2 linked regions of the Mus musculus genome follow. The protein of the gene in region 2 interacts with the protein of the main gene of each other region in a pairwise test. Links are inferred from orthologs where the notes say so. Each region holds a gene or a part of one and is shown on either strand. Other genes may lie near its edges.

Region 1 (4,096 bases), on a different chromosome or scaffold from region 2:
AGATGCAGGGAATACAGGCTCCTGTTAGAACCATCACTATCACAAAATAAAACATTTTAAATGTGAATTTTAATGCTGAAGATTGGGAGGGAAAGCACTGTGGGCAACAAAGGTCACTGGAGTAGGCTACTGGGAGCCTGAACCACCTTTGCTGTCATCTCCAAGAACCACCAAAAGCTAGAGCCACCTCCAAGGTGGCTCATGGCTAGCAAGGGAGAGCTTGTCTGATGTGATCTGACAATGGATCTGCTCACTCTTGGTTTCCATGTGGTGCTCCACACATGCATACACACGCGCGTACACACACACACACACACACACACACACACACACACACTCACATACACATGGTGGTTAGGAGAGGTCACTGTAGACACCATGTGTCTATGTCACCCTACTGAAGAATCACTGCATCCTAGTACTTGGGCTCTGCTTTCTGTGCTCTGCACAAGTGTCCTGGTCTCCCTGCTTTCTAATGCCTTCTATACAGACTTTTGTCTCAGACCAGAGGGCTAAGGGTCAGGGGTCCCTGGAGGCATGGTGCTTTTACACTGCCCCAGTGGACAGTGGAGGGAGAAGACATCAGAGCAGCAGAGCCAAAGAAGGGCCTGGGACAAACTGATTCAGCACCCAGAACAGCTTCCCAGCTTCTTCTGCCCATGACATCAAAATCTGATCTTTTCCCTTCCTTTCCCATGCTCCATACAGGCACACACATTATCCTGGAGTTCTTCTATGCATGCTCATAGCAGGTACAAGAAGCATGTGCAGAATAATGCACTCAACACACACACTCAGATACAGATATTTTACACACACACACACACACTCAGATACATTCATACATACACACACACTCACACACACACTCACACACATGTTCACACACAGACTCACCCATGCACACAGACCCCCCCTCACTTGCATATGCACACACACACACACACACACACACACACACACACACACACAGATGATGCATGTGCTCCGTCTGTGAACACAATTCTGCATTTTCTAAGTTTTCATCAATGAATGAAGATGACTTCCAAATGAAAACTAGAGTTACAGCGAGCAAACACAGACAGGGCTAACTGCAACAAGGGTCTGTCACAGCCGGCCGGCCAGTGCTTTCTCCAAAATACCAAGATGGAGGCAGAGGAACCGCCCCTGACTGAAGGGGAAAGGACAGCCAACACAATCAGGAGTTTTGACCTGGCTCCTGGGCTAGGGAAAGGATATTAGTGGGGAAATGAGCAAATAGAACAACAATGGTCAATGGCAGAGTGCTAACTTTAACTTCCTGGTTTGGAGAGCCCTGTGGGGTTCCGAGTGAGGAGCAGACTTCCTATGCTGCCGCTATGGCTTTAGGAGAAATCTAAAACTATTTAAAAATAAGTCAAGAAAATCAAATCAATGACAATGACCTCATCCCCTCAAAGTCCCAGGACACCATGAAAGTACTTTTCCAGGAATCCAACTGCAGGGGACAACTGTCAGCACCTCTAGTGACAACTCTCTACCTGGCTGCTCTCCTGCCTCAGGAATCCAGCCTTCTTCCAGGGAGTGACAGGCCTAGACCCCTCCCTCCTCTGGCCAGGACAGTGTGCTGCATTCTAAAAAATGCCCCCAAACCTCTCTCCAGCCACAGAGACCCCTGGGAGGTAGCCACTCCTCTGATGATGATTTGCGTGACTGGCAAGCTCAATAGAATGTGGCAGAGCCATCCTGTCACCCATGCGACTGTTCCAAAGTGAGGCCCACACCCAGGGCCTGGCACACAGCTCAGGATCTGATCAGCTTGGCTGGATGCCCACGTTTGTGGGGGACTGGTGCTAGAAGAAACCTGCCTCTTAGGTGGAGTCTCTATCAAGGCCACCCACCTGTGGGACCCACAAGGACGCTTCCCAAGAATGGCTGTTGTTTAAGCAATTTGCCTAAAGGTCACTCAATGGGACCTAACCTTCCATGAAGACCAGAAGGGAAAGCGTTGGCCACACCCATTTTATGTAACCTGTCCTACTCCAAGTCTTCCTCCCCGCCCAGAGGCAGCATGGTCAAATTCAGGGCTAGGAAGAAAATTTCACCCACAAACTAGATATTACAGGAGGCGTGGCAGGGAGTAGGGGAGGTGGATAGTAGCAGGAGCCAGCTGAGGAAATACTGAATGCATTGCCGAGTGCTGGCAGGGTTCAGCGCCTAGTTCTGCTCTGCCGTGTCCCAGAGTCGGGCAGCAACAAGTTTCCCAGAGTCACCTGGGCGGTTCAGATTGTTTTATGGACGATGCTGTCATGAGCTCCCTTCGGCAGGGAACACACGTAAATCAAAGTTCAAAGTCAGCTGATGTGATTTGAGAAAATACTGGGAGACCTTCTTTCAGAAGGCCCTTTAGAGAGACCCCTAGTTCTTTGAACTTTAGTAAAGTACAAACAGCTAGGGGGAAAGAAACCAGGCAGTAGAAGTTTCTTAGAGGTCTGGATAGTCTAGAAGGTGGCTGGACCCCTCCAGCAAGAAAGTGGCCTGGGGATTAGCTCCTCATCCTTTGGGAAAGAGGAAAACTTGCTCTAGAGGAACCCAGCCTGGGAAACCCACAGGGAAAGAGGGAGCCTGAAGTTAACTGCCAGCGAGGTTCCCTGCCGGGTCTGCCCCTCCCTCCCCGCAGGTGGGGGCAGTCAACTCACCAGCTCCGGTAGGAAGAAGGCAAAGGGGATGGTGAGGAACAAGGCGGCGACCCCCGAGGGCACGTCAGGCGGGGCGTAGCTGGTGGCCGGCGGTGTGTCCCGGGAGGCCATGCTGTCACCTCTGCTGGCGTCTTTACTCCGTAGCACTCGCCTGCGCCCGCAGCTGTTCAAGAATCACCTCCCGCCCGACAGACAGACACACCCATCGGTCGGAGGGACGTCGCCTGGGAGGGGAAAAGAAAGGTTCCAGTAGAGCGGGGGCCCTTCTGTGCACTGTGCTAGCCAGGAGAGGGGACAGGACCAGCCTCGCAGAGGGTCTTTCTAGACTTTCCCTGCTAAGGAACTTTGAATGCTGGAGCAAAGGACTCCAGAAGAGATGAAAGGAACAGCTTTGTATGTATGCTCCTGGTGATCTCTATGCTCAGAGTGTAAGCAAGGGCTCTTTTGCTAAGATAAAGATTGTTTACTGAGGACCTACTGTGTGGTTAGCCACCTTCAGACACTTCTGAAGTTCAGATAGACCACCACCACGTGGCTTTGTTGTACCTTTCCAGTTAAGGTCACAGAGTGGTCACAAAAGCAGCATCTGCTTTTGTCCTCAGAGTCTAAATGAAGGATTGGAGCAGCCTGGTTTTCACCTCCCTCCTCAGGTACTCTGAGTCCCTCTTGGGTCCTCCTCTCACTGTCGTTCTAGTCCAGCTAGGACACAGGGTTGGGACCAGGCAGTTCCTTCCTGCTTAGAGCCTGGGGCTGGCTGCTTGGCTGTGCTTCCAGACCCAAAGCTCTTCCTTTCACACAACGCCAGGCAGGGCTGGAGACTGGGCCACCTTCTTCTTTAACAACCCACTAACCTTGGTTTGTTTTCCCACCGCCCTGAGGGAAGGCCTGGCGCCCCAGAGCCTTCTTCCTCCCCTCTTCGGCTCCAGCAGGCCAGTTGAAAAGCCTCCTCAGGAGTAGGAGAGGAGGCATGGAAGAGTTGTCCCAAGGACTGGGGGATGTCCTGCACAAGAGCCCTGTGTCTTGTTCCTTAGCAACAGCAGGGAATTCCAGGGCCTGTCCTGGGCAAGGTGGGAGGAGTAGCTGGTTCGCTCTGCCTGGTCTGGAGCAGCCAGCAGAGTCTGGATACATGAAGCTTGAAGCCAAGGCATTGCAGGGAAAGGCAAAGATCTTCCCAGCAAGCTTCCAGACAGCCTGTCCTCAACCTTTTCCAAGTCCTAGAGCGTATAGTTCACAAGCTCAGGCCCCCACACTGCTGACAGAATGGATCCAAAGCCACCCACCTTTTCTGAATGTCACACACAAGTGCTATGTCTCTCTTTGGGGCTGTGGCCCCCTTGGATGTGACCATAATCTACATGGGGCGTCAGGGAAGATGGGGCAGGGTAAGAGGTACACACAGGTTCCAGGGATTGAGCCCA
Region 2 (4,059 bases):
GGCATGACATAATTTGGTGGGAGTGTGTGAAGAGGTGTGGGGAAAGCTTAAGTAACGATGGTCAGTTCTGTCTAAGCATGTTGAGTCTTTACTACAAATCATTCGTGCTTTACAATGCTCAGAGAAACAAGACCATGGGTGTCCAGCTCAAATCAACTTTTGTAAATCAAAGCAACAAAGACATAGCATTTCCAAGGATAGTTTTTACACTTTACACTTTGCTTTCCTCAGACAGTTTGCTAGTAGTGCCATTCCCTTTAAAACAGTTATCAATGATTGTTTTAAAGTTAATTTGTCTTTATAGAAATGTAGATTAATAACTGATCCAAGACAAAAGTAAGGTTTCCTAAAAAGACTTTCAGAGGCAATGAGACCAATCAAGAAGTAATTGGCTCTAGTCATGTCACCATTCCTGGATCTTCCTGTTAGGGAGAGCCTTCTGTCAACTCTTAGACTTGTATCTGAATCTAAAATAAATGAACCTAGGGTGACTCATACACAGATTGACCATTTCTTTCTGAGAGAGACACAGTTAACAGAATAGTCCTTACATGTGTTTGCTCATTGGTTGATATGCTATTTATAACTGGCAGATGCATAAAAGCCTTGCAAATGCAACATTAAAATCCTAGTGGCAAATACACTTACCCCAAGTGCTATTGCTGCATCTTTAACATTGCTTATTGCTGCTCCTAGAGCTGGATTTACCGTTGGCACATTTTCTCGACCCAGCTGTGTGTTAGGGAAGATTCCTGGAGATGTAATGAAGGAAACTTGCCCAGTCTGTACTTGGTTTCTTACGTTTAAAAAATTCAGAGGTTGTGGAGGATGAGGAGCCATGGATCTTGTTGGTGGGCAAGGATTTGGAATGCCACGCGTTCCAGGGTAGGTAGTCTGGGAAGATGTCATTATGTCACCTAAGCAGTACAAAACATACAGAAATAACACATTTACCAGGAAGAGAAATTAAAGGACATCTTGTCATCAATTTTTATGCAAATAGGAGAGAGAGCAAGTGAGCACATACTGGCTAGTGACAAGAAATAGATGCAGTTTCTAAGACTAAATATTACTCCAGCTATTTTTAGTCTCCAACTTGATACTTCACTTGAGTAGCTTTCTCAATTAAATTTCTGTTAGCCTGTATCTATGCTGTAAAAGGATAGATGTTGCCATTCAAATGGCCAGAATAAAGGTTGAATGATGACAATTTTCATAAAGCCATTGTAAGAGTTCCCAGCATAGGTCAAGAGCTTGGTGATGGCAGTGACTATTGTGTTATTAGAACCCATCTTATTTCTTATTATCTTATTTCAAATAGAGGATGCGTGTCCATTTGGTGAAATGGGTTGAACTTCAAAAGGTCAATGCCAAGAGCAAGGAGACAGGAGATGGGTGTATAAAGTCAGAACAAGAATTTTCCTGGGCTTTAAAAAGTATAGAATTAAATGATTGTTCTATGAGAGGGGAAGGAGAGGGAGGGACACACACACACACACACACACACACACACACACACACAGTGTGTATTTTTTGTCTCTGATAACTTTGCTAGGGAAATTTTAAGACTTCTTATCTGTGATCTAGTTTTTGAACATGGAAGTTTCACATGGAACACAGACTATTAATACCTAACTCTGTAAAACACATCTCAGGATGGATTTGTGCCCAAACTGCTGAAGTTTTAGAAAATGATTAGAAAATGACCCAGTTCTACATTTTTTGGTTCATATGAAAATGACCTAGTATGTAGATGTGGAAGTGATGCCAGGGAAACAGGATTAAGTGATCCTCCAATCAAAATGAAGATCCAAACTGATCCTTCAATCAAAATGAGGACCCAAACAGATCCTCCAGTCAAAATGAGGATCCACATAAAGGGAAGACAGTCAGCTCAGTGCTGAGTCTATTGTCATAGTTTTGTTTCTTTTCTTTTCTTCTTCTTTTTTTTTTTTAAAGGAGTTAGCACATTTTTTTCTCTTAGCAAATGATAAGCTATTTACAACCAGCTTTTTTCTGAAAAATGAGAACTAACAACCATTTTCAAGCACACAAACACATAAATAAAAACACCAAAGTTCTGGTGAATTATAAAGCATAAGGACTATAGCAATAGGAGAAAAACCAGCTGGTGAACTAATCCAAGTAAAGATGGGAAAATATGACTGTAATTTCTTACCACCTCCTTTCCACCTTTGTTTGAAAAGAAGGAAAATGATACTATTGTTTAGAATGTATTATATAGCATATAATGAAACATCACAGTGACTCATAGACACTTCCAACCGAATCATGCAGGACATATGTCTGAAAATATCATCTTTCAGCAAATATTAAAAAATGCTGACCCAGTGAAGGGTGATTTCCCAGTCTTCATTTTCCATAAAGAAGCCTCTTTAGTGAATCATATTCAGAAACTGTGTGTTTCAGTGTCTCTGTTATGCGTGGACCCTCGATCACGACACTGTCACCAAGGGTTCCTGCTTGCCGGTTACTATTCATGGAATTTCATACATGTGTATCCACTATCCTTAGCATTAGATTTACACACATGGGTATGTGTCTATAGATTCGCTTGAAGTGCCTTTAGTAGTAATTGTCTTGTTTCTCTCCGGGTTTCTCTTTCATTCGTCAACTGTCTCAATACAGATTTAAGAATTGGCTTCACCTCTCCCACCCAGAGAGTAGAATGTGGCAGCAAACCCACCCAAACAGATCAGCCCCGTTCCATACCCACCGAGAAAGGCAGGGTGGTTTCAGTGGACCTATGCAGCTTCCCAGAACCTCTGGGCTCTCTCTTTCTCAGCTATATGTTCTGCTCTGATCTTGGATATTTATCTGGGATTTATAAGTGCCTTTACTTCCTTGCTTCAAGCGAGCCTATCCTATCTTTATATAGTTCCAAAGTCCTTTCATTAAGCACTTTCACCCCATTTGTAAATTTGAGAATGCGTTGTAGTTTGTATTTATGCAGGGAAGTGTGTTCTGACTCACTTATGCTGGGAAGTGACACTTCCAGACACTTCTTGTTCCTTTCTCCAGCCCCTTAGCTTTCTGACCCTCACTAAAGCAGTGCCACACCACGTTCTAGTGCCTTTTAAACCAGACAAGTACAACTGTAAAACACAGACAATGAAGAACAGAAAGAGGAGGAGTAAAAGTGCCTGCACTCTGGACACCTGGACACTGCTACTGAGGATAATTCATCAGGATTCGCAAACTTTCGTGTGCCAGGATTCGTGTTACATACAGATGTACATGGTGTTGTAAAGACTCACCAAATTAAGGTAGATTGTGTAGGTTTTCTATACTACACCCTTTTAACTTACCATTTTATTAATACCTTTACAGGTCAATCAACCCTTATAATTCTCAATACTGTTATGTTATAATTTTGGAGGCAGTCTAACTATTCATGTTCATTTGTGTCTTAGAGGTGCAAACAAGTGTCCTAAGAACAGAGATCCAATGTATATTCTTGCCTTCAAAAGCCCCATGGCTGTCAAGTTTCACATGTGGTGAGATCCATTGAGCAAGTGGGATCAGTGTCAATTCTTTTCACACACACACACACACACACACACACACACACCACTACCACCACCACTACCACCACCACCACCACTACCACCACCACCACCACCACCACCACCACCACATGAATGGTTAGGAAAGAATGGTTTTTGAAAATATTGTTTTTATTTATTCTTTGAGAATTTCATACAATATATGCTCATATAATATATATGGAAAAGAATATTTTATTCTTTTTTTCCTTTCCCAAATCCTCTCAGGTCCCCATCACCTCCCCAACCACCCGACTTCATGTTCTTTCTCTCTCTAAAAATGGATAGCCAACCAACCAACTGTGGAGTCCAAGTAGGTCAACTACTCCTGAACATGTGGCCTGTCCTGGAGTATGGTAGATACCAAGGGCCATTCGGTTGAGGAAAACATATTTCCCTTCTCCTAGCAGCATCAATCGTGACTAGCTTCCTGGCTAGGAGTAGGACTTTTTAAAAGAGTTTGCTTTTAAATTATCTTTGTGTATTAATGGTG

The links. The genes of interacting proteins can lie anywhere in the genome.
Region 1: the proteins of Ms4a12 (region 2) and Mall interact in binary tests that used the Homo sapiens proteins (3 or more experiments, as listed by UniProt). The two-hybrid records come from large-scale screens. The link is inferred for Mus musculus from reciprocal best matches to the Homo sapiens genes MS4A12 and MALL.

Annotation. Positions count from the first base shown.
Region 1 is NC_000068.7:127,727,078-127,731,173, forward strand, and holds the start of Mall (MAL-like protein), read right to left. Parts: upstream 2,821-4,096; 5' UTR 2,790-2,820; coding exon 2,679-2,789; intron 1-2,678.
Region 2 is NC_000085.6:11,229,632-11,233,690, forward strand, and holds the start of Ms4a12 (membrane-spanning 4-domains subfamily A member 12), read right to left. Parts: upstream 2,823-4,059; 5' UTR 2,738-2,822; intron 918-2,737; 5' UTR 910-917; coding exon 649-909; intron 1-648. UniProt on the Homo sapiens protein: May be involved in signal transduction as a component of a multimeric receptor complex.